Linked DNA regions of Nothobranchius furzeri. The protein of the gene in region 1 interacts with the protein of each later gene in a pairwise test. Links are inferred from orthologs where the notes say so. Each region holds a gene or a part of one and is shown in the gene's direction. Other genes may lie near its edges.

What was found.
Region 2: the proteins of traf3ip1 (region 1) and pcnt interact in a two-hybrid assay, tested with the Homo sapiens proteins (2 studies listed by BioGRID and IntAct). The link is inferred for Nothobranchius furzeri from reciprocal best matches to the Homo sapiens genes TRAF3IP1 and PCNT.
Region 3: the proteins of traf3ip1 (region 1) and smc4 interact in a two-hybrid assay, tested with the Homo sapiens proteins (2 studies listed by BioGRID and IntAct). The link is inferred for Nothobranchius furzeri from reciprocal best matches to the Homo sapiens genes TRAF3IP1 and SMC4.
Region 4: the proteins of traf3ip1 (region 1) and fgfr1op2 interact in a two-hybrid assay, tested with the Homo sapiens proteins (2 studies listed by IntAct). The link is inferred for Nothobranchius furzeri from reciprocal best matches to the Homo sapiens genes TRAF3IP1 and FGFR1OP2.
Region 5: the proteins of traf3ip1 (region 1) and golga4 interact in a two-hybrid assay, tested with the Homo sapiens proteins (2 studies listed by BioGRID and IntAct). The link is inferred for Nothobranchius furzeri from reciprocal best matches to the Homo sapiens genes TRAF3IP1 and GOLGA4.
Region 6: the proteins of traf3ip1 (region 1) and ccna2 interact in a two-hybrid assay, tested with the Homo sapiens proteins (2 studies listed by BioGRID and IntAct). The link is inferred for Nothobranchius furzeri from reciprocal best matches to the Homo sapiens genes TRAF3IP1 and CCNA2.
Region 7: the proteins of traf3ip1 (region 1) and frmd4a interact in a two-hybrid assay, tested with the Homo sapiens proteins (2 studies listed by BioGRID and IntAct). The link is inferred for Nothobranchius furzeri from reciprocal best matches to the Homo sapiens genes TRAF3IP1 and FRMD4A.

The regions. Positions count from the first base shown.
Region 1 is NC_091754.1:2,499,749-2,503,700, reverse strand, and holds the start of traf3ip1 (TRAF3-interacting protein 1), read left to right. Parts: upstream 1-1,152; 5' UTR 1,153-1,251; coding exon 1,252-1,374; intron 1,375-2,928; coding exon 2,929-2,997; intron 2,998-3,619; coding exon 3,620-3,781; intron 3,782-3,952. Other genes in the region: agr1 (anterior gradient 1), read right to left, coding at 1-42, 474-577, 1,057-1,152.
Region 2 is NC_091758.1:23,787,430-23,790,929, forward strand, and holds part of pcnt (pericentrin), read left to right. Parts: intron 1-942; coding exon 943-1,054; intron 1,055-1,274; coding exon 1,275-1,401; intron 1,402-1,527; coding exon 1,528-1,647; intron 1,648-1,726; coding exon 1,727-1,784; intron 1,785-1,888; coding exon 1,889-1,978; intron 1,979-2,063; coding exon 2,064-2,175; intron 2,176-2,266; coding exon 2,267-2,307; intron 2,308-2,771; coding exon 2,772-2,906; intron 2,907-2,992; coding exon 2,993-3,182; intron 3,183-3,258; coding exon 3,259-3,394; intron 3,395-3,500. UniProt on the Homo sapiens protein: Integral component of the filamentous matrix of the centrosome involved in the initial establishment of organized microtubule arrays in both mitosis and meiosis. Plays a role, together with DISC1, in the microtubule network formation.
Region 3 is NC_091753.1:52,617,985-52,621,484, forward strand, and holds part of smc4 (structural maintenance of chromosomes protein 4), read left to right. Parts: coding exon 1-91; intron 92-159; coding exon 160-385; intron 386-460; coding exon 461-537; intron 538-1,957; coding exon 1,958-2,110; intron 2,111-2,223; coding exon 2,224-2,350; intron 2,351-2,437; coding exon 2,438-2,627; intron 2,628-2,800; coding exon 2,801-2,945; intron 2,946-3,016; coding exon 3,017-3,190; intron 3,191-3,393; coding exon 3,394-3,500. UniProt on the Homo sapiens protein: Central component of the condensin complex, a complex required for conversion of interphase chromatin into mitotic-like condense chromosomes.
Region 4 is NC_091741.1:59,845,428-59,849,358, reverse strand, and holds the start of fgfr1op2 (FGFR1 oncogene partner 2 homolog), read left to right. Parts: upstream 1-1,131; 5' UTR 1,132-1,396; intron 1,397-1,977; 5' UTR 1,978-1,979; coding exon 1,980-2,114; intron 2,115-2,360; coding exon 2,361-2,478; intron 2,479-2,908; coding exon 2,909-3,051; intron 3,052-3,142; coding exon 3,143-3,256; intron 3,257-3,931. Other genes in the region: med21 (mediator of RNA polymerase II transcription subunit 21), read right to left, coding at 583-697, 1,034-1,075. UniProt on the Homo sapiens protein: May be involved in wound healing pathway.
Region 5 is NC_091752.1:16,190,716-16,194,215, reverse strand, and holds part of golga4 (golgin subfamily A member 4), read left to right. Parts: intron 1-442; coding exon 443-511; intron 512-1,003; coding exon 1,004-1,330; intron 1,331-1,416; coding exon 1,417-1,464; intron 1,465-1,564; coding exon 1,565-1,621; intron 1,622-1,704; coding exon 1,705-1,803; intron 1,804-3,500. UniProt on the Homo sapiens protein: Involved in vesicular trafficking at the Golgi apparatus level. May play a role in delivery of transport vesicles containing GPI-linked proteins from the trans-Golgi network through its interaction with MACF1. Involved in endosome-to-Golgi trafficking.
Region 6 is NC_091741.1:74,293,187-74,297,422, forward strand, and holds the start of ccna2 (cyclin-A2), read left to right. Parts: upstream 1-1,436; 5' UTR 1,437-1,537; exon of another isoform or gene 1,538-1,863; 5' UTR 1,864-1,899; coding exon 1,900-2,106; intron 2,107-2,803; coding exon 2,804-3,062; intron 3,063-4,236. Other genes in the region: bbs7 (Bardet-Biedl syndrome 7 protein), read left to right, coding at 1-103, 180-303, 413-546. UniProt on the Homo sapiens protein: Cyclin which controls both the G1/S and the G2/M transition phases of the cell cycle. Functions through the formation of specific serine/threonine protein kinase holoenzyme complexes with the cyclin-dependent protein kinases CDK1 or CDK2.
Region 7 is NC_091744.1:72,025,685-72,029,646, forward strand, and holds the start of frmd4a (FERM domain-containing protein 4A), read left to right. Parts: upstream 1-1,162; 5' UTR 1,163-3,962. UniProt on the Homo sapiens protein: Scaffolding protein that regulates epithelial cell polarity by connecting ARF6 activation with the PAR3 complex. Plays a redundant role with FRMD4B in epithelial polarization. May regulate MAPT secretion by activating ARF6-signaling.

The DNA.
Region 1 (3,952 bases):
TCCTCGTCCTCTGGAGAACCAGACAGCTGAATAAGGCGTGCACTTTTAAAGCACAAAGCATTTTTTGAACTCTTACACCCGCAGAGCTCACTGAAGGGCTTCAGCTCTGAGTCACCAAACAAGTCTGACAGGCCGGCGCGATGATGCCGCGAAGGAAGCTTGTTTTATGTTACTATTATTTTTATATTTTATTTTATTATGGATGACATCATCACAGCTGTTTACTGTAATCAAAATAGGAATGAGTCTTAATGTATTAATGCAGCTTCTTATTTAATCTCAATCCAATGAACTATTGTACCTTTTTTTCTTTTTGAAAGAAACAGCATGTAACTTTGCAAGCCCTTACGTAGCATTAAATGGTTTAAGCATTACATTTCTATTCTGAAGAGCAGCGAACAACTTTCCAGCTGAAACTGAATCTGAATTTTCTGATTTTTGGCTACTGAAGTCACTCGTAGTGGATGTCTTACCTGTCCAGCGTGAAGCAGCAAGCGTCTGTTTGAGCTGTTCTTCTCACCTTACCTTTTGTCAGACTTTTAACCGAACTTGCCAAACGGGTAAAACAAGCATCCTGCTTTAAATGAAACACAAAGAAAGGTCTATGACTTATATGAGACATATTTGCATGCATGGGAAGTTTGGGCACACCTTCATACGATTTCATAATTCATACTTTCATAAATAAAATTCTTTGAAACACTGACTCTAAATGTAGTATTAGTGCTTGTTTAATAAATCCAGTTAGAAAATGCTTCATTAATCCCAGATGGAAATTAAGTGTTGTTGTGAATAAGGAAACAATAATAAAAACAATAAAATTTAGGTATCTATCTATCTATCTATCTATCTATCTATCTATCTATCTATCTATCTATCTATCTATCTATCTATCTATCTATCTATCTATCTATCTATCTATCATCTGTCTGTCTGTCTGTCGGCCTAATCTTTATTTATTTTTGTTCTTGTGAAGCACGTCGTGGTTTTTATCTGGAGATGCGCTGTATACACGATCGTTTTCCTTATTTCGTTTCTTTCTACATAGCTAGCTACCGTTGCTATGGACACAGAACACCTAGCAACCGAAAGCCTATGGCGCATGCGCAGCTTTCGTTCGCGGTGCACTGTGGGATTGTTGGATATTGACATAGCAACGGAGCCCCAGAGCCGCCTAGCATTCGTGTTTTAGACCAGTTTTCGCCCCTTTTCTAGCAGCTAAATTGTTCAGTTGGGATTTCATCTGCCGCCATGAACGCAGCGGTGGTGAAGAGGACTCAGGACACGCTGGGGAAAGTCATAAAGAAGCCGCCGTTAACGGAAAAACTGCTAAACAAACCGCCGTTTCGTTACCTTCACGACATCATCAGTGAGGTGAGACCGACTAAGGACAACAGTTACGTTTAAAGACATTTTATAAAGTTAAAAACTGTATATGAAGCCCTTGCGTGTGCTTTATTATCTGTGTCCATGAAAGGGATAGCTCTAACCGGACAACCCTCACCAGGAGCGAGTTAGCTTAACCGCAGCTGTTCAAAAGCGGTATCACTGCATTTCTCCTCTTCAGCACCCAGAGCGAACACGCGTTAAAGACAAGCAGCTGCTAACGTTCATTATTATGACTGTACATGTTTAGGTTGTACTTGCTTCACACCTGCTGCCGAGCAGCTGACCACAGCTGTCTTGTTGGATGCATAAGTTCTGCCTTTTTGTATTTAATGTACAGCAACATTTGATCGACATCTAGATGTTAGATGTTTACAAACGTAGGATTCACCAGTGTAAGTCGTAGGTCTGGATAAATATTAAAATTTGTATTTTATTTGTAGTATCAGCTCCAAATAATGACAGTGTAAATGTCAAAAAGTATTATTATTTCAATGATTGTCCCTTCTTAAGACAAAACTTACTCTTGTCTAAGTAGAAATGGCAGAACGAGGGTAAAACACAAAGGCAACATATTTTGTACATCAAACATTTTCCTGTTATCTTCTGGCAACTGACGTTTTCTGAATAAGGAAAATTTAGAATATTTAAGATTTTAAATAACCAAAAACCGGTTTAAAATACTATTTATTTGAATAATGTATCTACACAAGAATTAGAATCATAATATATTGTAGAGTGCAGTCTGTCGTACTGTTTGTGTTTGGGGCATCATTAGATGCTCTTATTTTGATGAGCCACTCTGCTGTTTTCCTGATTTATTTTTGACTGACGAGCATTTCCTAACTGAATGAGTATTTGTGCAGAAAAAGTGTGTTTTCATTATTTACCTAAATTATTTAGGTTATTATTCTTCCCATAACTGAGCATCTGTGTGTGTGATGTGTGTAGAACAATATGACGTCAGCTTCTTGTGTTAAACCCTTTTTCTGCTCATGTTTGTGTAAAAAATAAAATCGTACATTTGTGTTTGTGTACATGCTTAAGAAAGCAGAACGGGTATTCACAAACAGGATATATTAGCAAAATGTATATAACTGCATGAACTAAATAATACATAATATATAATGTAATTTTAAAAATATTTTCTTTAAAAGCATGTTTTTTTTACAATTAAACTCATATTTTAACTCTTTTCTTTAACAGATTAGAGACTAAATCTATTTTCTAAACAGAACTGAGATCTTATTCTCTCACCACACTGGTTGGATGGTTTTATGTTTCACTCTAGCTTTATTTATAATTAATTGAGGTTAGCATTCCTATAGCAATATTCTTTTATCTGACTAAAGGAATTCAGTTGTTTAAGACATACTTGATTGAAAATTAAAACATTTTGCAGCCATAAGTCTGCTTTAAGCTTGCTTCCATAAAATCAAAAACATTTTGTGTTAACTTGTATTAGAATGATGTAGGTTTTGCAGAAGCACCTATAATATTTGTATAATAACAGTAAACCTTTATTTTCCTCTTGACTCTAAGGTAATCAGGAGCACTGGTTTTTTGAAAGGCCTCTATGGAGAAAATGAAATGAAGTCAGATAGTGTAAAGGTAAGCTTACTCTTGCTATATTTACTTGATTTTTGACCTTTTTTTCCCCTGAAAAGACTAATTTGTTCAGGATTACCCCCGTGTGTTTTCACTGGGCAGCCTGAGTCACCAGATACGCCGTCTGGCAACACTGTGAGCTAGAAGATCTGGCAGGCAGAGACTGAGTGTTTGTCGAGGTGTCAGAATGCTAGTCTGCTATTTGCAAGGCGATCCTTGATTAGGACTGAATGAAAGAGAGCTACACCGAGTCTTCTCTGCTTACAAACGTAGCTGCACGCTGCCCGTTTCTTACTAGTGAGAGAAATGAGTTGTTAGTGTTGTGTTTTACATTTCCTCCCTCGAACAACGAGGTAACAAGCGGTTAAACCCAGTCACTCTGGGGGTAAGATTCATATTTCAGTTTCATCACTTCAGCTGTCAGGAGTGCAGAGAAGTCAGTTTGACCAACAAGTCCTCCTGGTCTTTGGTTTATCAGTTTACTGACCTGCTTTTGCACAAAACAAATGATGTCATCATTTCTTTTTGGTATGGAACCAATTTTATTTAGATTTTGCCTTTAATCAGTTTATATTTTAAATGTTTTTGTCTCGGTAACGGCTTTTTTCATTATATCTCATTCTAGGAAAAGGACTCAAAAATAACCTTTCTTCAGAAAGCGATAGATGTCGTGATGCTGGTGACCGGCGAGCCTCTGGCGGCCAAGCCCGCACGGATCGTTGCCGGCCATGAGCCGGAGAAAACCAACGAGCTGCTTCAGGCCATCGGCAAGTGCTGCCTCAATAAGGTCTGCATCACACACACACGCGCGCGCACACACACACGCACGCACACACACACACACACACACACACATGCACTCACACTCACACACACACACACACACACACACACACACACACACACACACACACGCGCGCGCACGCACACACACACACACACACACACACTCACACTC
Region 2 (3,500 bases), on another chromosome or scaffold:
TTTTATTTCGATTCCTACTATGCCGACCGGAAGAGGAATCAGTGGCCGATTTCCCTGAAAAATAAACATGATCTGCAAATTGGGATCAACGCTTTTCAGAGCTGATCACACCAGCTGTCTGTGTGCAGCACCGAGTCTCCCCCTCCCCCCACCCAGCACGCAGCGGCCAAATATAAACAAACGCGTCTGCCGAACTTTTACTCCGTAATGTAAACTTTAACTCCTGCAGCGTAGAGGAAACTTGTTAAAATACGTCAACACGGTGGATTTAACAGAAGCTTTAAAGAACAAACTGTGTGAGGTGAGTTTGTCTCACTGCAGAAATAAAAACACACACTTACCAACACGTGTGTGTGTGTGTGTGTGTGTGTGTGTGTGTGTGTGTGTGTGTGTGTGTGTGTGTGTGTGTGTGTGTGCGTGCGTGCGTCAGAAGGTTGAACAATAACCTGTAGAATAAAGTCATCATGCTAGAGCAGCTTCTCTGTGGTGGACCACACCAGCTTCTGCCACAATAAATAATAATAATAAATGACACACAATGTTGTGAATGTTGGAGACATTTAGTCTCTCATCCCAGAGGCTTCTTCCAGTCTTTGGTTGTGGTCAGAAACAAACACACTGGTTGTGCTGCACGTCTTTTTATTTTTTTTCCCCAAAACATGTTTTTGTCTAAATGAAGGTGATGTTATTGTTCATAGAATAAAAATTCATGTTGAAGTTAAGATTATTTCATCAAGTAGGGCTTGTGGTTAGTTAGCTCATGTAAAGCATGTCATGTCTTGAAAGAATCGGAATCAGGAATCGATAGGAACCGGAATCGAAACGTGGAATTGGAATCATTCAAAATCAAACAATGCCCAACCCGAATGAGCATCATTCTCTCGCCTCACTGGCACTTTCCTCACACACACGTCAAATAAATATTCCAACTCTGACGATCAGGTTTTGCGCCTGGAGGAGGAGAAGGTGTCTCTGAAACAGAGCTGGGAACAGGAAGTAGGTCAGCTGTGGGCCCAGTTGGAGAGCATGAGGACTAGTCGTCAGGAGCTGGGAGGTGAGGTTAATACAGGAGCCTGACGTGTGTGTGTGTGTGTTTCTGTTTTTAGTTCCTGATCTTCAGTGTTCATTTAAATATTCAGCTTTTTGAGAATAATCCTGTCTATAACAGCTTAAATTAGCTTTCTTACTCTCTAAGCGACTGTTGAAAATCAAAGGAGTGTGTGTATTCCCAGGTGTGTTTACACTCTTTATCTCTCTGCTTTGTGGTCCTGCAGAGCTCAGGGAGCAGCTTTTGGCTCGTTCCTCTCATGTTAACGACATTGAGTGCCTTAAGACGGAGTTTAATGAGCAAAAGCGAGAAATCAAAGCACAGAATGAGGCTGAGCTGGAAAACCTCCGGAGGTACGACTCCTGCACAAAGTCTGCTTAAACTTATTATGACGGTGATCTGCATGAATTATTATTCAGAACATAAACCAGCATCAAATTTAAGGCTTTTATTTTGTCATTTACCATCACCTTTCCCAGTTACTTTGAGAAGAGGCTGCGTGCATCGGAGGAGAGCTACAAAGAGGAAATCGCTCTGCTTCAGCTGAGGCTTGTAGAAAGTGCCTTGGAGGAATCCGTGCTTAAAACAACGGATGACGAGTGTGTCCACTGGCTTTATGTGACATTGTAGGACAGTTCTGACCTATTCCAGAGTTCTCATGTGTTTTCTCTCTTTCAGTATTTTGTCTCAAGCCAAAGCTGAAGAGGACAAAGAGGTCAGACCGGAGAAACCGAAGGTAGGATGTGAAGACTCGATGCTTCCTACCAGTGTCGTTTTAATTATGGATAAGTTTTACAAAATAAATGGCCGTTTAATTCATTTACTGGGCATCTTATCCAGGAGCTACTTGAGTTGGAGGACCAGCATGCCCTGGACCATCCCAGTCTGCAGACTAGTTTAACGCTTTCTTTTAACGACGAGCTGGAGCAGGTCAGGCAGTTCCTCAGACACCTAAATTGTTAGCACACAGGACTATGGCTCTTTCATGTGTTCTGTATGAATCTTTGTATATCAGGTGCGCTCTGACCTCACGGACCATTACTACATAGAGCTGCAGGAGATGAAGACGCGTCATGCCCTGGAGCTGCAGCAACTTGGAGCCAAACTGTCTGACAGCCACGTTGAGGGTACCTCACTCATGCACCTCCACAATAAACACTGTATTATTTACAAGTTGGTTTTAATAACATTTTAAATGTTTGTTTGTTTTTTGTGTAGAACTAACCAGAATTCACCTGGAAGCAGCAAGGCAGGTTGAGGTGAGGATTCGGATCATTTGGTTTTGACTAGGGATGCTCTGATCCGATCACATGATCAGAAGTCGGGCCCGATCACATGTTTTTGAAAGGATCGGAGTTGGGAGAAATAAATCAGATTTATAGTGATGGTGTGTATTTTCTCTGGCGATAGGGGGCAGTACTTACCTAAATGATTGCAATCAAGCAATATTTTTGGGTTCAAGTAAGACCTTACCAACGAAAAAAAAAAGAAGTGAAACAGGACAATTTAGATGCGTTTTCTTCTTATTGTAATACTTTGCTGATTTTTCTTCCCCTTTTTCTATTAATTATTTTCTGAAAAGTATCGGATTGGGACTCTGTATGGGCAGATACTCTAAATCAAATGACTCGGAATCAAATCGGGAGCAAAAAACGTAATCGGAACATCCTTAGTTGTGACTTTGTGAACCTTGTGATGCTCAGCTTTGCTTTTCTGTTATTAGGCTGAGGTAGAACAGAGGACTTGGTACCTCACTGAACAGCTGCAAACAAGAATGACGATCATCCACACTCTGGAGAACAGACTCACCTCCCTCAGTGAACGGCGCGATGCAGAAATGCAGTCAAACACACAAAAGGTGCAAGTACATCTGAGCAGGCTCTGCAGAGAGAACCCAAACACATGAACCGTTAGTCAAACTCACACTTGTGTTTGTTTCTGCAGCTTAACCTTGTTGAGAACGCTCTGAAAGAGGAACGAGGGAAGCTAAAAGAAGAGCTTCAACTGAAGCATGCAAACGAGATGTCTGCCTTGAAGCTGGAGCTTGATGGGGAGAGGGGATGCCTGGAAATGGCTCTCCAGGAAGAGAAAGAGAAGTTCAGGTCTCTGCAGGTTGATCTGGACAGAAATGAAAGTAAGATACTTTTCACCAGACCTGCTCTTGTTTTCAGAGATTTCTTAAGAGAGCTGCTAACGGGTTTGTGTTTTAGACCCACAGGTCCTGATGCTGAGACAGAGACTGGAGGCTGAGTATGAGGGCGAGCTGCAAAAGGCAAAGGACTGCATGTCTGCAGAAATAAAGAAACTCAGCACTTTGATGCAGGAGCAGAGCCTGGCCCAGCAGAGGTAAGAGCTAACGGGCTTCATTTTATTTTAGTTGGAGTTGAATATGAACGCTGCAGCTGTTGTCTAATGTATGGAGAATTTGTGTTCTGATCAATAGTTGCATTAT
Region 3 (3,500 bases), on another chromosome or scaffold:
CGTGGTGGATACCATCGACACTGCTCAGAAATGCGTCACCTTCCTGAAGGAACAGAACATCGGTGTGGCCACTTTCATCGGTCTAGACAAGGTAAAAAGGTTTTACACCTTCAGTCACAAAGACCGCGACGAAACTTCCTTTGTTCTTCGTGTTCTCAGATGAAGGTGTGGGAGAAGAACATGGCTCCCATTCACACGCCAGAGGACAGCCCTCGCCTGTTCGACATGGTGCGAGTGAACGACGAGGGCGTGAAACCAGCTTTCTACTTCGCCCTGAGGGACACGCTCGTAGCCCAGGACATGGAGCAGGCCACGAGGATGGCGTTCCAGAGGGACAAGCGCTGGAGGGTGGTCACCTTGAAGGGACAGATCATCGAGATGGCCGGTCGGTGTCTTCTGACAGAAGTCTGGATTCATCAGTGAGCTCAAGTCTTTAAGCTTCTTCTGGTGTGTTTCACAGGAACCATGACTGGAGGAGGGCGGGTGCTGAAAGGCCGAATGGGCTCTTCTATTGGTGCTGAGGTCTCTCAGGTGGAGGTGAGTCTACATCGTCACAAATCTCCCAACACTTTGTTTAATCATGATTTATTGCTTTTTAAATCACAAATACTTTAGCTGTGACCCTAACGAACACTCAATATAATCACATAATAAATAACCCGTGCCTGTAAACCGTTACTAGAGCGAAATAAAAAGTTTTATTTATTCTAACGGGTCTTCCAGGCTGTACTGTGAGACCTCTTCAAATGGTCCAGAACGCAGCGGCGCGTCTGGTCTTCAATCAGCCAAAAAGAGCACACGTCACCCCTCTGTTCACTGAGCTCCACTGGCTACCGCTAGCAGCACGCATCAAATTCAAATCGCTAACACTAGCATACAAAGTCCGAGACGGTACGGCTCCCATCTACCTGAATCCTCTTGCAAAGGCTTACGTCTCGGCCCGGCCGCTCCGGTCATCACAGGATCGTCGGCTAGCAGTGCCTACACCACGCTCAGGACAATCCAGACTCTTCTCATGCATCGTTCCACAAATGTGGAATGACCTTCCTAACACTACCAGAACAGGGGCTTCCTTTTCAATTTTCAAGAAACTCCTGAAGACCCTGCTCTTCAGAGAGCATCTTCTAAACTAGCACCCTCCCTGCACCCGCCCCCCCTCTCTACTGTCCACTCCTTGTTCCCTCCTCTCCATGATTGATGTCAAGTTGTTGTTGTTATTGTTGTTGTTGTTAGCCTCAAGGGCAACATGCCGATTATCACTTGTTAAGCCTGATTCATGCCTCTGCGTCTCTGCGGAGACACGCAACGTCCTTGCGGGCCTGCCGGAGAGCTCCGCAAGGACAGACGGAGTCGAGCTCTCTTTTCTAAACATCCGTCCGTCGAGACGGACAACGCAAGCTTGTGATTGGTCAGGGTGCCGCTGTTGTCTACACCGCCGCCATTGCGCCCTCAAAAACAAAGAGAGCCGAGGATAAACTAGCGGCAGACATGGAGCAGCTTGAAGAACACCTCGCGAAAAAACTCTAAAAACATGAACGTTAAATTCTCCCGTGACTGGAGGAGTGAAAAGATGCGCAGCAAGCGTTTTATTTGTGGACGGAAATGACAGGAAACGTGGGTTTAGAGGTGGGGAGCGCATGAAGAGGGGGAGGAGGATGAGGGACAAATTCGTCTGTGTTAAAACGTCTCTTATGTACAAAAAAACCAACATAAACACACATCTTGGACCGATACATGACAGGATACCACAGAACAGCGCTACGCCCCCTGCTGTCCTGCCGGGGAATTGCTTTGCAACACTCCAGGAGACGGAGAAGTATGAGGGGAAAATGCTTCCGTCAATCCGTGCGTGTCTGTCCCTTGCGGAGCTGACGGAGACGCATAAACCAGGCTTAAGTCACTTTGGACAAAAGCGTCTGACAAATACATAAACATAAACGCATAAACATATTTGCAGTTGGACCGAATGGAGAGTAAGCTGAACGAGAAAGCATCAAAGGTGCAGGGCTGCCAAGAGAGAAGGATGCAGCTGGAGGAGAGCATCCAGCGTCTGCGGACGCAGCTCCGAGAGATGAAGAACACTCTGGAGAAATACTCCAAGAGCATGAGTGTAAGAGCTTCACCCACCCAGTTCCCGTCGGTCTCCGATCAGCTCCTCTGCTGTCCGTAGCCGTGAGTACCTCCTGGGTTTAGTAAACGGTGTTTTTCTTCTTCTTGCCTCAGAGTTTAGCCGACCAGGAGACTCACCTGAAGCTTCAGATGAAGGAGCTCGAAGCCAACGTGCTGGCAGCGGCCCCGGACAAGGCCAAACAGAAGCAGCTGGAGAAGAGCCTGGAGGCCTTCAAAAAAGGTAGAACCTTCTCTGAACACGGAGGAGAAACATGACCGACGTATCGTGACACGACTGCAATAATGAAGCGTAACGTGGTTCCGTTAGACTACGAGTCCGCGTCCGGCAAGGCCGAGAAGGTGGAGAACGAGGTGAAAAGGCTCCACAACCTGATTGTAGACATCAATAGCCACAAACTTAAAGCTCAGCAGGACAAGTTGGACAAGGTCAACAAGGAGTTGGACGACTGCTCCTCCATCATAACCAAGGCCAAAGTGGCCATCAAGACAGCTGATCGGTAAGCAGGAAACGCCTGTTCGGGGGGGGGGGGTCTGGGAATAAACCTGGAGTTTATTTAACGTTGGTAAAATGTCTTCTGGCTGTTTACATTTCTGATGTTTTACCGTTTTTCATTCATCGCTGAAGCAGCAGAATCTAAAGGAGTCATTTTTCGTTTTGCTTTCTCTGCAGCAACCTGAAGAAGTGCGAGGAGGGCGTCGCCCGCGTGCAGGGGGAGCTGCAGGAGAACGAGAAGCTGATGGTGGAGCTCACAGAACAACTGAAAAAACTAGAAGACGAGGCCGGGGAGATCATGAAGACCTGTCAGGAGGCGGAGGTTGGTGTTTGTTTTAGGAACACGTCTCGTTTGTGTCGGCACATCTGAGGTGTTCATCCCCGCTCCGTTAGGCCACTCTGCCGGAGGTTCAGGAAAAGCATCAGACCGTTTCCAAGGAAATAAAGGTCCTGCAGCAACAGGAGCACGCACTGCAGGAGGAGTCCCTCAATGTCCGTCTGTCTATTGAGCAGATAGACGCCACCATCAGCAAACACAACGGCAAGATCAAACACTGGCAGGACGAGGTGAGTCCCCCGCGGGATGGCTTCCATCCTTGTGGTTTGTTCTTGCAACTTTAGGTCGTGTCAGAATGAAAATGTAGCTTTAAAACAACAAAATTCCACGTAGCGGCTGGGAACGCTGGGATCAAACGCTAGCTCGTATTTCTGCTCCTCCAAACTGACGTTGATGAAAGAGCCGAGGTATCCGAGTCCCTTCTTGTTTCCAGGCTGCCAAGCTGTCCCTTCATACCATCGACGGCCAGCCAGCAGAGGAACTCCACACGCTTCCTGCTGCTGAGCTCGAAGCCATCTCGGATCCAAACGTCATCATCAA
Region 4 (3,931 bases), on another chromosome or scaffold:
ATGACAATTGTTAAAACTGTTTGATTGTTCAACATCTCTACAGGATCCTCATTAAAAAATGAATGCAACTCAGGATGGGAATAATTCTTTTGACATTGCAGAAGCAATCAAAGTGAAGGGCAGTCCAACTAAATATTACAAAGTGACACTTTTGGGGATGGGCAGGGTACAGTTGAGATTCAGTTCTTCAGGCTATTTTGGAAATGGTAACACTTTTTTTCCTAGACGTTTTGACAATTTTCTTTAAAATTTCAACATTTTTCTTGACGTTTTAACTTTATCCTGGAAATAGTATTTCACTTGTTGACTAGCATTTTTACTTTTATACAATTAAACCCCGAAACCCCTTTTTGAAACAATTTATTAAATTGTGGCTTCTTCGAATAGGAAAATAAATAACCCATGAGAGTTTGGTAGTGATTTTTCCACCAGGCATGTGAGCATGTTTGGCCTGCCAGACTCGTCCTCTGTTTAATTCTACACAGAGAACTAATGCTTCCCATAAGGATGCATGACTGGTCAGGCTAGCTGAATGTGGGAGAAAAGAGATTTAAATAAAGATTTTGCTTTGAAGTTACAAACCTTCGGCTGAATTTCCTGGCTGATCCTTGTTGATTGCTGTCTGAATATTACTGAAGGAAGCAGGTGGAGCACATTGTTGCAGAACACCGATGGCATCACAGAACTGATCAGCCAGCTGTTCACACGCAACAAAACAAACACGGGTTTTAAAACTCCGGACATTTGTTTAAAAGAATATAGAATAGATAAACAGCCAGTATAGTCTGATAGTTGCATTACCAGTTAAACCAAGCCATGTTCATTGGTTAAAACATAAAAGCTGTGATAAATTGTGTAAATTAACTAAACCTTAGACTCGCAAGTTAGCGATTAGCTACATTTAAAAGACTGAAACGATAATTCTGCAAATATTTCTTATCTAAATCCATTTGTTGTAATTGTGTAAGATAAAAAAATAACTATTGACGTAGAAAATAATTATATTTCGGGATATTTCAATAGTTTTGCTTACAGAATTGACAGCGTCTTGAAGTTGCGTTAGCCTATCCGCCATGTTGCCGTAAATAAAATAAAAAACTCCCCAACGTGACCCTCGCGAGAGTTTAACGTCTCGCGGAAATAAACAAGAGGCTTCGAGTTAGCTGAAGCGATGGCTGTGACCGTCCCACGGCTGGTTTTTTGTAATGTGGATAGGTTTTAAATCGACTTTTTCATGACTAGCGATATTTACTCTCGTGCTTTAAGGAAATGGGAACGCGCCAAAGCATCTAATCCGGAGTAAACGTCAGCTTTTAGCCAGTGTTAGCCACCAAACAACAACAGGAAGTAAAGAAGCTAACTCAACCCAAGTGGTTTTGTACTTTGAACTCTTCAGGTATGACCACACATTTGTCAGTTTTGCTGCCTTTTGTGGACCTTACAAGTTTAGTTATAGCAGCCGGTTGGTGTTATGAACTCCTCGGTAGTTTATATTTGATTAATGAAGTGTTGTGGTGATAAATTGTGTCAGTAAATGCAAAATATGTTAAGTAATAAAACTCTTATTAGAGTAAAATGACCTATCAATGCATTATTGGCTGTAAACTAGCGTGCTATCACCTACGAGGAGGCTTAAGGTTCAAGCTAGGTTCTTTAGCTTTAGAAACGTTTATTCATGGCTCATTTCGATCGTTCTGGTGAATTATTATTATTTTACAGAGTGTGGTGAAGTGAAAGTTCATGTATTTTCGTGTGGCTGTCTGTAAAAAGATTCTGAACAACTAATATAGAAGTAGACAGATCTTTGAATGAGCTGAGTTTGAAGAAATAAAGATTAGTACTTACTGGACTGATTTGTTTGCATGTATTCGTAGTGTATTGCATTAATTATATTTATTTTCAATAAATTGATACCAACAAGTCAGAGCTGTTGAATAATCAAAAATAAGTTGTTTTTATGCTTCTGTATTTCCTTAGGTATGAATTGTAGTTTAGAGAAGGTCTTGGCAGATGCCAAATCATTAGTGGAAAGGCTTCGTAACCACGACAATGCCGCTGAGATGCTAATTGAACAGACAACATCTCTCAACAAGAGAGTGGAGGCTATAAAAACGGTATGTGATTTTTTTTTTTCCTATTTTATGTGCTGTTGGGTACTAGCTTAGTGCCACCAGGGGTCACATTTTACTAATTCTATAACTGAACACTCTATAATGCAAAAGAAGAAAGTAAAGTGCATTCCAAAGAATGATGGAATATTTTAACCGTAGCGTTGACTGCTGTTTAGTTTACAGGACATAACTACTGAGGGCGAAGCTTTTTATTGATTCGTTATTTATTTATTTTTTCACATTTGACAGTACCAGGAAGAGATTGATGCACTGAACCAGGTTGCGCGACATCGGCCTCGTTCCAGTCTGGTTCTGGGAATCCAACAAGAGAACCGTCAGATCAGAGAACTCCAGCAGGAAAACAAAGGTAGTCTTTCAGTGTTAATACTCATGGTGATTGCTTCCTGTTCGGTACAATACATTCCTTTACTTTTGTCAAATCACACTGCTTACAAACACTGAAATGTTTTTGGGCAGAAAAAATGTTTTTTACAAATATCCAGAGACATCATTAAGGTAAAATTTATTTACATAGACATATACAGATCGACTAGAGTTATTTAAAATCCTTACAAAATATTTTTCACTGCATTTCCCTATTCATTTGTTCAGTAATTAGTAGTCACTTACTTAGCTTGCTGCCATGGTCCAATTAAGAGTGAATAATTAGCCTACTTACCTTTTTATACCATTACTAAAATGTCTTCCTCGTACCACTAGAGGGAGCTCTCATACCATGATTTGAGAATGACTTTGTCATAGTTAGCCAACCAAACATGCGTTCTCTCTTTCTGCAGAGCTCCGAACATCTTTGGAGGAACACCAGTCTGCGATAGAGCTCATCATGACTAAATACAGGGAGCAGGTGTTCAGGCTCCTAATGGCGAGCAAGAGGGATGACCCCGCCATCGTCACTCAGCTGAAGGAGCAGCACACCACGGTCAGCAACTCGGGTTTCCTTTGTTCTTCTAATTCATATTTTAATAACTGTAATGTAAAATCTTCTAATCATTTTTTGTTGATCTGTGCAGGAAATGCAAGCGCACATAGACAAAATCAACGAGATGGCATCTGTGATGAGGAAAGCTATAAAGGTGGATGAGGACCGAATATGTGAAGACGAGGAGAGGATTAAACAGTTAGAGGTAAAGACGAATAAGGAGTTGCTGCATCATCCCTGTAAATGTTCTGAATTCTGATGCAGGAAAACATGTTTGACATGAATGAAACAAGGGAGAGTTTAGCTATTTAAATGATTCATGAGTCATCTTACACAGGTAAGCAATATCATTTAAGACTAACTCATTTGGATCAAAGCATCTGCCATAGTGGGTTAAACTATGAATCAGTACATTTGGGACCGGTTTTCCCACTGGTTCATTCAGTTTGTTATAACTGAGAGTAACGTTCTGACAAACGGGTCATGTAGTTAAGTGATCTAAACAATAAGAAGCTACAGAGAAAATAAAATCATGAAAGAAATCAGTTTAAACACAATGTTAATGGAAATAAGAAAGTAGAGAACAGGCATTATGTTTGTGGTTTAAACATGAGAGTTTTATTATCTGTACATTTTACAGAAGGCTGTAGGTTCAAATCCCGGTAGATCAGATTAACCTATCTGTGACCACCAATAGAGCTGGACGATATACATAAAAAGCATATTGATTAATATCAATAATTATTAATAACTAGAAAATGTAGAAAATATATTAGAAGTGCTGAGCTGGCCATTTTATGGTCATTACGTACAAGTTGGTTATTACCAGACTTGATTTTCATTGTTTTTATCAGACTTTTAATAATCTAAATATTTCCAT
Region 5 (3,500 bases), on another chromosome or scaffold:
CTTTTTCTCTGATGCTGCTGATCACACGTCGACTAAACCAGCTAGGCTGCTGAATATCGACTCACTTCATTTAAACCTTTGTGCTCTTGTAATACAGCTTCAGACCGTACTGCCAAAGCACCTTTAATCCAAATACCAGCTGTGCTGCTTGACTTCAATGTGTCTGTCTGTCCTGATCTTATGGCTATTCTCTAGAGTGACGTTTTAACCCCTTTTTTGTTTATTAGATGATAGAGATGCCTTCTTTTTTGTATTTAACCCCTCTGTTTTTCCAAAATTGCATGAGGGTACACATCGCCCCTGCATTGCTCCCAGCAATACTAATATTGCTCCCTCCAGAGTAATCAGGGAGGGCCATGCTGGGTGTGGATTACTAACTGGCTCCAGGACAAGTCCATCTTCACAGCTTTTCTTTCTCTCATCATGTGGTTTTATTCTGCAGAGTGCCTCCAAAATACCCGTCAGGTCCCCCAGAGGGAGCATCAATGGGGATGGAAGTGCTTCTCCTTACGTACGTTTTATACATCATCTAAGAACGTTAAAGAGCAAGTCACCCCCTACCAGATTCTTACTCAACTCCCACTTCCTGTTTGAAAAATGCAACAAATGCTGTTGCCTAGCAGACCAAGAGGGCGTAGCCACTAACAAATGCACACACACACAGGCTCACAACATCATTGTGACATCATATGGTACTAGCTAACGTTCTAGGGTACCTCTTAGTCAATAGTAATGGCAGATTTAAATTCAAATGCAGTGCAGAGTTTTTACCTGACAACGGCACAACACTGACAGTTTTAGGCAGAAAATAAAAATTTTAACTAAAATGCACTTTAGTGCTAAACTATTGACTACACGTGTCTGCAGCACGATTAGACACACATTTATATAGTTTATCAGGAAAAAAAAGTTGATTTGAGGGTGACTTGCTCTTTAAGCACATTTGTATAATGCTGTAACCTGTTTGGTGATCCGCTCAATTCACTTTTTATGCATACAACAGAAAGAGGAGTCACAGTCCTTTACCCAGAAGCTGCAGCTGAAGGTTCCTTCAGTGGAGTCGCTGATTCGTGGCGGTGCGAGTCGAGCAGAAAGTCTGTTCCGCTCCTCTTCCAAAGAAAACCTGGTTCGAAGTTCCTCACGCGAGTCGCTGACGCCTTTGGGTGAAAACGAGTCCCCTGTGGCCCCCGCATACGATCCGCCTTCAGATATTGAGAGCGAAGCCGAGGAGCCGGCAGGAAGTGTCGAGTCTCTTCCTAAAGAGCAGCTGTTGCACCGACTGCTTCAAGTCGAGAGGAGCCTGGGGAAGTACAGGGGGAAGTACTCCGAGGTGAGACGCCCGCAGACAACGGCTTCTAGACGATTAAAATAGACAAACTGTTCAGTGAAATGCACAAACTTTTTCTTGTCATGCAGCTGGTTACTGCATACAGGACAGTCCATCGGGAAAAAGAGAAAACGCAGGTAATTTGGTTGACATAGTCTTTATTTATTTTCCCTTTATTGGTTTTATCCTTAAACATCTTTTGGAAACTAATTAGATTTATTTTGTCGCTCCACTCAGGCCATCCTCAGTCAGAGTCAAGATAAATCTCTCCGCAGGATCGGAGAGCTTCGTGAGGTGACGGCATGTTTTACTTGTGTCGGCATCGATCTTTCACACTAAAGGTGTACGTGGAAATAAACTCTGTTAATGTCCTCTAGGAGCTTCACATGGACCAGCAGGCTAAGAAACATCTACAAGATGAGTTTGACGCGGCTCTAGAGGAGAAGGACCAGATGATCACTGTCCTTCAAACACAGGTGAGCGTTCAGCTGAGAGATGAAGGGTGGGAAAAAGTGGAACAAAGATTTTGGTTTTAAGTTTACAAAAATTGAATGGATTATTGGTCTTTAACTCATTCACTGCCAGCCGTTTCCTGATCCGAAAAGCCCTTCGCTGCCAGAGTTTTTCAGCGTTTTCACTTTTTTTTTTTAAGAGTCACAGAACGTTGCACCCTATGATGATGTCAACGCCAAAACTAACAAAACAAAGCGTAGACTCACCTCTTACATCAGGAAGAATCCCTGCGTTTCGAGCGTTATCCGTTCTTTCATAATCCGTTGTTGAATTGTGATCGGCAGAAACTTTTCCGGTTTGCGCCTCACTTTTTTTTTCAGCAGCGGCCCAAAACTATCTCCTGACACATGGATTTTCTGCTTCCTGATCACGTGACGTGTGACGTATGCGGATGAAGATTGGCTTTAAAGCTAGGGTGTTTGTTCTCACGGTGCTGGGCTCGTTCCGATGCCCACACAGTAAAAAAATGCAAATGACGACTTTAGTTGTTAGTACATGGTTAATTTATTGATGTAGATTTTTTTGCATCATCAGTAGATTTTCACAAAATAAAATTAAGAATTTCTTAACAGAGAGGACACTTTGGATCATATACAATATTTTACTGTATATGCTGTAAACAAAGCAGACTTCATTACCGCATATGCAAACCACCTGTCACTCGATGCACTGGCTCTCACTGAGGCCTGGATCAAACCATGTGACAATGCTACCCCATCTGCTCTCTCAGTTAACCACACTTTCTCCCACACTTCTCGTGCATCTGGCCGAGGTGGTGGAACGGGCGTGTTAATTACCAACAGATGGATATACAGTCAGTTGCTACCCATCACTAAATACAACTCCTTTGAATACCATGCCATCCAGGTAACTGTACTGAAAAAAATCTTTTTAGTTGTCATATATCGCCAACCAGGTCAACTCAAGAGACTTTCTTGATGAACTCGACACCATGCTCTCCTCCATTCCTGAGCACGACTGTCCCACAGTGGTCCTTGGAGACATGATTATTCACCTGGACAATCCCAGCTCATCAGGCTTCCTGTCACTAATGTCATCATTTGATCTAAAACTAGTACAGAGTCCTCCAGCTCACAAAGCTGGAAAAGCACTTAACCACATTTTCACCAGAAACTGTGCCATAGACACAATCTCTGTCACACCGCTGCATCTTTCTGATCATTACTTCATCCATTTCAGCATGACTACATGGAAGGTCAACTGCTTCCTCCCCAATGGTCTCTTTCCGCCGCAACCTCCGCAATCTGGCACCCAACCACATCTCCTCTCTTGTTGCCTCCACTCTCTGCTTATGAAGTAAATGATGCCACCGAGTCTCTCTTCTCCACACTCTTCTCTTGTCTCAACAACTTGTGCCCTTTAGCCACTAGACCTGCTAGATCCTCTCAGTCGCACCCTTGGCTAAATGATACCCTCCGGTCTCTACACACCAATCTTAGAGCTGCGGAACGGAAATGGCGCAAAACAAAAGATCCTGTTGATCAATTGAAATTTCATGAATTACTGTCCTCATTCTCTGCCAGCACCACTGGTGCAAAGAAAGCTTTCTACACTGACAAAATTCTCAGCTCTACTGACTCTCAGAAACAATTTTTGACATTCAAAACTCTGCTCACCCCTCCATCTCCACCTCCTACCA
Region 6 (4,236 bases), on another chromosome or scaffold:
TATTAATGACGACTCCGTGAGCCACACCCTCAGGATGATCCACCCAAAGCTGGAGTATCAGTTGGTGCTGGCTAGAAAAGTTCAACTTGTCGATGCTCTCAAAGTAAGTTTTGGTTAAATGTGTTTTGTTGCTGTTTATTTATGATTCAGTTCATTATAGTTGAATCTATGTTTCCTAGGAACTTCAAGTTCATGAAGGAAATGCAGATTTCCTCATCCCAGAGTACCGCAGCATTTTGGATGAGTCTGCTAACCTTCTGGAGGAGTACAAGAAGCAGCCAGCCCACCTTGAAAGGCTTTACGGTAAAGCTGGAGTAAAAAGAACTAACTTTCACTGTTGATTAATTTTTGTTATTGTTGCTTTTTGATTTTCACTTTATAAAGTTTTGTGTGTATTTCTGTTTTCCTGCAGGAATGATCACTGACCTCTTCATCGACAAATTCAAATTCAAGGGCCAAAATGTGAAAACAAAAGTGTCCTCGTTGTTGGAGATACTTGATAATTACGAATTAAAGTCACTCTTAGACTTTTTCAATGAGCCATGATGCCATAATGGCCAAAGATGATCTATCTCTGTGACGGTTGTTGTGTTGCAATCTTTACATGACGATAGTTCATCTTTGAGACTGTGTTATTTTGTTAAATTTTATTTAGAAATAATTTACTCTCCCTTAAGAGTTGAGTAATAAATTACTTTTGATGTATTAAGGCGTACTGCAAATGGTTAGGAGAATACTGCAATACTCTTATTTTCATGCAAGAATTTGATGGAATTTGTTACAGTTATAGTATGTGTGTCAAATGCTACTCAATTTAATATCTAATCTTTCTGTATTAAACCAGTCCTTGTGCAGTAACTTGTCAGTAAAAAATAGCTAACACACCAATTGTTTTCAATTTTATTCCATATTATTTACATCTTAATGTAATGTACCTCATGCTACAACAGATTCGTCAAGAAACAAGTTGTTGCTGTATACTGGGTTAGGTACTTCCATGTGGATTTAAGTTTTATACACAAATTTATCTAATCAGCATAAGTGGTCATTCAACCTAATGTAAGAATAGGACACATGAAAAATAAAGCCAAACATAAAAATACAATAGTATTTAAACATTTTAAATTATAGTCTTATGAGTAATTTCTTAAACTAAACATATGTGCAAGTCTTTCAGTAAACAAGTATACTGGTGGACCTAGAAATGACCTCAAGCACGAGCCCTAGGTTAGGAAGACGTCTAAGTATGTTGAAGTGCTTCTAATGATATAAATATACATAATTGTTGCAGCAAAGATTTTTATTCCAAATGCGTTAACGTTGTTGTTACTCGCGTTTAACTTTGTATTTGGGATCTTTTTTTCAAACCGGTTTTAAATTTGCAATTAAAGTTTTTTGTCCCTCCTCGCCTCCTACACTTGTAATACGTCAGTTCCTTCGCGGTCTGTGATTGGTCGGTTTCAATCATCGCGGGCTACTTGAACTCTCTAAGTGTTTGCATGAAAATGCATCGACAATAGCTGCTGTCATTGTGCAGGTTTGTACCGGATACAAAACTTATAAATAGAATGGCAACTTAGTTTTTCCTTAGTTTTGCCAACCCGATGTCAAAGGTGCACGTTTGTTTTTATTTGCTTTGTTCTAGCGCTGCAGTTCCAAGTGCTGTTGCCATCTCAACAGTTTAGTTCTGATTCACGATTCAGTCTGCTGTGCAACAGCTAAAGCTCGCTTCGACATAACTGCTCACACGCCATCTTTTTTAGCCTTTTGATTTGTAAGCTTTCCTCTTTTTTTCGCTCTGTGAGGAAGCACACTACGGTTGACCACTGCTTTTTTATTTATTTGTTTTTTTGTTAAAAAAAGTGCGGAGAAGTGGATTCTCTCTTGGAGGGTGGAAACATGTCAGGAGCTAACAGGCAAGGAAATGCGGCTAGTGAGCTCCCCAACCATGAAAACATGCTTTCAAGGCTCAGAGGGTCGCTTAAACACCGAGCTGGTGAAAACCAAGAAAACCAGCCTCCCAAACAAGCCGCCAACAGAACCGTGCTGGGAGCCCTGCAGAACAACCATCGGAGCAAAGCCCAGAACCAGCGAGGCGCTAAACAGGTAACAGGCTAGCAACCTTGGCCTAAGCTAACACCTAGGCAGGCTCTGAAGGCAACTAAAATGGTTACATTTGGATGCAAGTACGTTAATTAGCTGCTTTAAGCGCCTTTTTAAAAATGAAGTAAAATGACATGTTATGTTGCTCTGTTAAGTTTCCCCTGCTTTCCGCCATTTTAATAACCTTATAGCCCTTGAGTTGCTTTGTTCTAAACACAAATGTGCTTCTGGAGAACCTCCCGTCTTCATTTACTGTATTTAAGTCAATTTACACAAGATTTTCTTTGCATTTACAAGTATCCTGTAACCGAGACTTAACACAGAGGTAAAATTAATTTAGCATAATCTGTAGACTTCTTTTATTTATTTTTTTACACACCTGCATGTTTTTCGTGTTCTAATAAAGGGCATACATTTTGGGTCCTTCCTAATACATTTTGCTATTGTAGAGTTAAACTAATTAATCACCAGCTGGTCTGAGAAGAGAAGTTTTTGAAATACTAATTTATTACCTTTTTAATGTAGTATTAATAGTTAATAATACTTTATAATATATTGCTTCCACTGAGCCTCACATTAACAGAAATGCAAAGAAATTTGCTATATTTGAATCACATTTTCCACAGAAGTTTCTAATTCACAAATCAAGTTTTGGCAGATGTCTGTACATTACAGATTTTTTTTTTTTTTTTTGTTCCAGGAAACATCACAGCCCTTGGCTTGCAAAAATGAAGATTTTAACAAAATCCTTGTTGAAAGACCTGTTAAGCAGCCAGCTTTCCAGATCCATGTGGATGAGCCTGACGTAGCCTGTGACAAAAAGCATGTGGCTGAAACAAACAAAGCGAAGCCCACAGTGGAGGAATCTCCTCTGGTTGTCAGTCATGCTGTGGCACGACTCCGACAGCCCCTGGCAGTGATCGAGGTTCCGGTTCCGTTAGCCATGGATGTCAGCTTTGGTGGGTTAATATTCAATTCAATTCAAAAATACTTTATTAATCCCAGAGGGAAATTGATTGCTGTAGTAGTTCAGTTCAGTTCACTTTATTTCAAACATATACATTCACCAACATTTCATAAAATCATTCCACGCAATTGTTTGAAAAGGAGTAGGGAGAAGTGTATACTTATTTAGCCCTACCCCTCAGGTTTACATCCTCATCAAAATTTAAACAACAAAACAGTTACAATGCCTTCAAAAAAAAAATAACAATAATAATAAATAAATAAAATTATCATGTTCAACTAGAACTACATTTAGATTTTCTAATTTGTAGAATAGATTAAACATCAGTTTGCATGCCGTCCTGGGTTAATTGCATTTTCTTCATTCTTATACTTATTTAACATTTCTTTTTTGAGTTTTATTTTAAACTGGTTTACATTACTACTATCCTTTATTTCTTCTGTTAACTCATTCCAGAATTTAACGCCCGCTATTGAAATAGACATCCTTTTCAATGTTGTCCTTACTCTTTGTACTTTTAAATTCCACTTCCCTCTAAAATTATACATAAAAATAACTCAGAATAATAATAATAATATATAATATTAATAATATTAATCAAGTCATCAAAGAGTTATTGTATATCACAATGGCTGTTGGCAGGAAGGATCTCCAGTAGCTGTCAGTGTTGCAGCAAAACTGAAGAAGCCTCTGACTGAAGACACTCTTCCATTGTCGGGCAGTCTTGTGAAGAGAATGCTCAGGGTTGTCCATCATTTTCTTGATTCTCTGGAGAATCCTTCTTTGCATTATCTCCTCCAGCGGTTCCGAAACTGCCGAAACTCTGGCTGAGTCCTTGAAAAGGCTTGGAGTTCCTCCATCCACATTGCCCATTATGATCGATGGAAGAGATGGTTTGAATTTCCTCTTTCTCTGTCTCCGTCCCGCTCTGCACCCACGCTTCTTGCGTTTTAGCTCATTTGGGATTTGTGGCTTCAGTTGAGGTATTATTTCAGTCTTTCCAATGTTAATCAGTTGCTCCCGATTGTAAACCAGACGGTTGCCATGGTTACGCATCACAACATGCTCAAAGTGAAAAAAGCTAAAAGTAGCAGTAAAAATCCTCCAAGCTTCACAGCACCAGAAACAGAAAAGTGTCCAAAAAATAGTTTTTCTTGAGAAACTAG
Region 7 (3,962 bases), on another chromosome or scaffold:
AACTTAAAGTCAGCACCAATCACAGAAAAGGTCAATGTTGGACCCCGGCTATCTGCGGGTCAGGTTGATCTAATTGTTTCAACATTAATTCAATGGAGCGCCTGTAGCGTTGACGTGGCGACTGATGCACAAAAACAACACCCTGCGTAAGTCTCTCTTTAATTTATTCATCAAGCCTCTGCAAGCACTGCTCAGCGCCGAGCCCCCGCGGCTTTCCTCCTCTTCCTCGCTACAGTATTGATTCCCCGGGATTTCAAAACGCCCGCAAGACTGTAGGTGAGAGCTGTGGTCAGTCGGTCCAATTAAGGAGGCAAAGAGAAGGGGTCATAAAAACAGAAAGAAGAGGGAATAACATACATCTCCTGAAGGCCTTGCACCACACCCTGTTTTTGGCATCAAAGGGGACCCCCTTTTCTCCCCAAGGCAGCTCAGGAAGAAGAGCGTTATTGAGCAAGTGGGCAAAGTGGGGGGAGCATGTAGGGAGACTCCCACCCTCTTCTCGGCCCCGTCTCTTTCATCACTCTGTGGTATTATTCATTTTCTGTCCTTTTATACTCCATCCAAAATCAACCCGCAGACCTATAGGCTCATGACACAGCTGCACTCAAGTTCAAAGGAAATCCAAACGCAGCACGATCCGGTGAGGAGATGATCGCCTACTGGCTGTGGGTGCAAGCTGAAGGCAGTGAGCTGCTGATAATGTGTTTTCTCTCTGTGGAGACAGACTGTTAGCAGGGTAGCTATGGTGAGATTGGACTTTAATGTCCGCTGCCAAACCTGCCCCCCCTATTGGATGGGTAGATAGACATTTGTCATTTTTGTGTGTTGGCGGTTTTCCCATCTGCTGCTGTGTCCATGCAGAGCTCAGAGTGACTTCTTCGCCATCTCTGCTCCTCTATTCTCAGAAATAACAGCATGCAGTCCTATAAAGGAGAAAGACAGAGTGGGGAATGGGGATGATGGGAGTGGAGGCGTGTGGGGATGATGGGAAAGAATTCTACCCTAAAACAGGAAGTGGAGACCCCGAAATGTTCCTTAAATATCCCAGCACAATATGTACCCTTTGTTGCAGAGAGGAATAGCATGTCTCCATGAGAACCGAGGCGCTGTCTGTGTGTGACTCACTGATATGAAGGAGTTTATTCATAGTGTGTGTGTGTGTGTGTGTGTGTGTGTGTGTGTGTGTGTGTGTGTGTGTGTGTGTGTGTGTGTGTGTGTGTGTGTGTGTGTGTCAATTCTGCAGAGACAGAAATAAAAATTGAAGAGGTGGGAGATGTTGAGACTGATTTAAAGATGCTTGAAGCAGCAGGAGGGGGTGTGTGTGTGTGTGTGTGTGTGTGTGTGTACGTGTGTGCGTGCGTGCGTGCGTGTGTGTGTGTGTGCGCGCGCGCGAGTGACAAAGAGAAAGAGAGAGAGCAGGAAAGCTGTAAAAGGAGATGCTGTTTCTTGTTTTCCTGTGGGTGTACTGCAGTAACTCGGTAATCCTCATTAATATTTATCTGCCGGGCAAAGTGGAGAGAATGATTAGCTCGTGAGAGAGTTTGAGAGTGTTCATGTGCATGTTATCTGTGAAATCCACCCCACCCCTTCCCCTTTTGTGCATGTGTGTGTGTGTGTGCATGGATGTATTATAATAGCGAATAAAACACAAGAACTAGGTCAACTTCTTCACTCGAGAGACAAACAACTCCCAATACTTCAAAGTCTAAATGTCACTGAGTGTGTTACTCATTGCTCACATGACTTTTTGTGACACACACATGCACACACATTTCCTCCCAAAGACACAGCTGTGCACGATGCCATTGATTTTCCTACTTGCACTTCTAACACAATCACATTAAACCAGACTGATTGGAATTGAGTTTCAGACAGGCTCTGTGTCACTTACAATCTTCCCGTCTGTGACAGCGGCGGTGGCGTCTGCGTGGGTTAAAAACGAACCTGTGATGGAAATAAAAGCCAAACGAGCTAAAAACCCGAGGTTGTTGTCACGTTTAAAAGAAGCACCTTTTCCAGGGACTTTATCCAGCCTCAGCTGAGAATGCTCTCCATGTGTGACCCATTTCCCTCCACTGCTCTCCTCCCTTCTCCCCGTCTGACTTGCCACGCACTCCGGCATAACACGCCTGAGTGAAGATCAGAGAGCAGGAGGAAGATGGTGAGATAGAGAGATGAGAGGGAGAGATTAAAGAGGCACAGGAGAAAGTCAGATTACAGAGCGAGAGTTTTCTCCTTTGGTTCTTTCTCCTGTTTGGGTCAGAACTCTGTGCAGTGCTTTGGTCGGCTGACGTGCTGTTTTTAAATGTGCAATATAAATAAAATTGGATTGGATTGGATGGATTGGAACTGTTCCGACTAAATGTTGTTTTCCTCCATCTACCATGAAGCTGAATGTAAAACTCTTCTGAGTTAAACTCCTAAGTCCCGTTACCGTGGTAATAGCCGGCCAGTTGACGCTCAGGTCTGGTCTGTTTCAATCACACGGCTGGTTTGACCTTTCCCAGGATTCAGAGGGGCATTGCAAACACGTAATCATGGGAAAAGTGCACTGTCATGCCTAACCTCTCGCCTCCCTCCTAACCACGGCAAATATTTACACCCCACTATAAATTACAGTGGCTGAGGGGTTGAGCATCTTCAGTCAAGCCCCCGTTCCATTTTGGAAAATTCACACCAGAGGATGAGTACATTCCTCGTGGGTTTCTCAGGACACCAGTGAGAGCACAATGTCTTTCCCAGAGAGAGAGAGAACAACCTTATAAGTTCATTTTAGTTGTTTTATAAAAGATGTTTATGAAAAAAAATGTGTATTTCTTCCTTGCTGTAAAATCACACATATTTTTATAAATAAATATTCAAAAGTTAGGAAATTTTAGCTGTTGCTCTTGATTTTAAGTGTAAGTAGAATGATTATGGACCTTTTTAGAACACTTTATCTCAGACAGAGTCCCAGTTATTGCATTGATAAACCTCTCAGTGACTTAGAAGGTCTCTAAAATCCAGTTTCAACCCACCACGCTCACTGGGCTTTGAGAAAGGTTGGAGAATCACGGTACCGTGCAGATTTATTGATTTTCTGATGAAGGCTATAATAAAAGATTTAGCAGAAAATGACAACAAAGATAAACATTTGTCTCCTTTTTTCATTTTAAAAATTGCAGGTGACATTTAACAAAGTCCCCTCAAATTCCATTTAAAAATGAAAGTCTACTTCCAGGAAAAGCTAGCTTTTAACTTTTTTTTCATTTGTAAAAAAAACCCAGCATTCATCGTTCAGGGCATTTTGTTAAGGCTGTGTTTACAACAGACTGAAATAACAGACACTGAAGGTTGGGCGAATGGGGTTTGTGTTGCCTCCATGTGGCCATTGTTGTAAATGAGTTCATGTCAGCACGTGCAAGATTGTGGATTTCTGTCTCAAAATTAAAATCTACAGTTAATGTAATCATTTGCTTTTTTTCACCTTATGGATGAAAAAGTAAAATCAGTTGAGTTTAAATGCTTTTTTTTTTCCTGGGACAGTTGAGCCTGGGAATGTCGGCTAAAAGGAAAAATGTGAACTTAAAAAAAACATTTTGGCTAAAATCCCAACACTGCCGTCCCTTTGAGACCAGATGGAACAGTTTGTTTTCAGTTTCTGTAATTCAGTCTTATTATAAACACACAAATGTGCATTCTTTTCTAAATGTTTTCCCTGCGTGGTTTGTACCCTTCTAACAAACTAACAGTCTGAGCAGGTGAGTGAGATGTTCAGTCTGCAAGCACATCCCTTTCTCCTGGAAATCTAACGCCGAGAGAGGGAAAGCGATCGCGGTTCAGAGAATGAGAGTGCGTGTCGCTTTAAAACCAAGTGCCGGTCAGAAAACCGAGCGACTGGCTGCATTTCCTTAGTGGGAATGTTTGTGTTTGTGGCGCTCAGGCCAGCAGATGGAGGCTGAATTACTTCAGTGTGAAAAGAG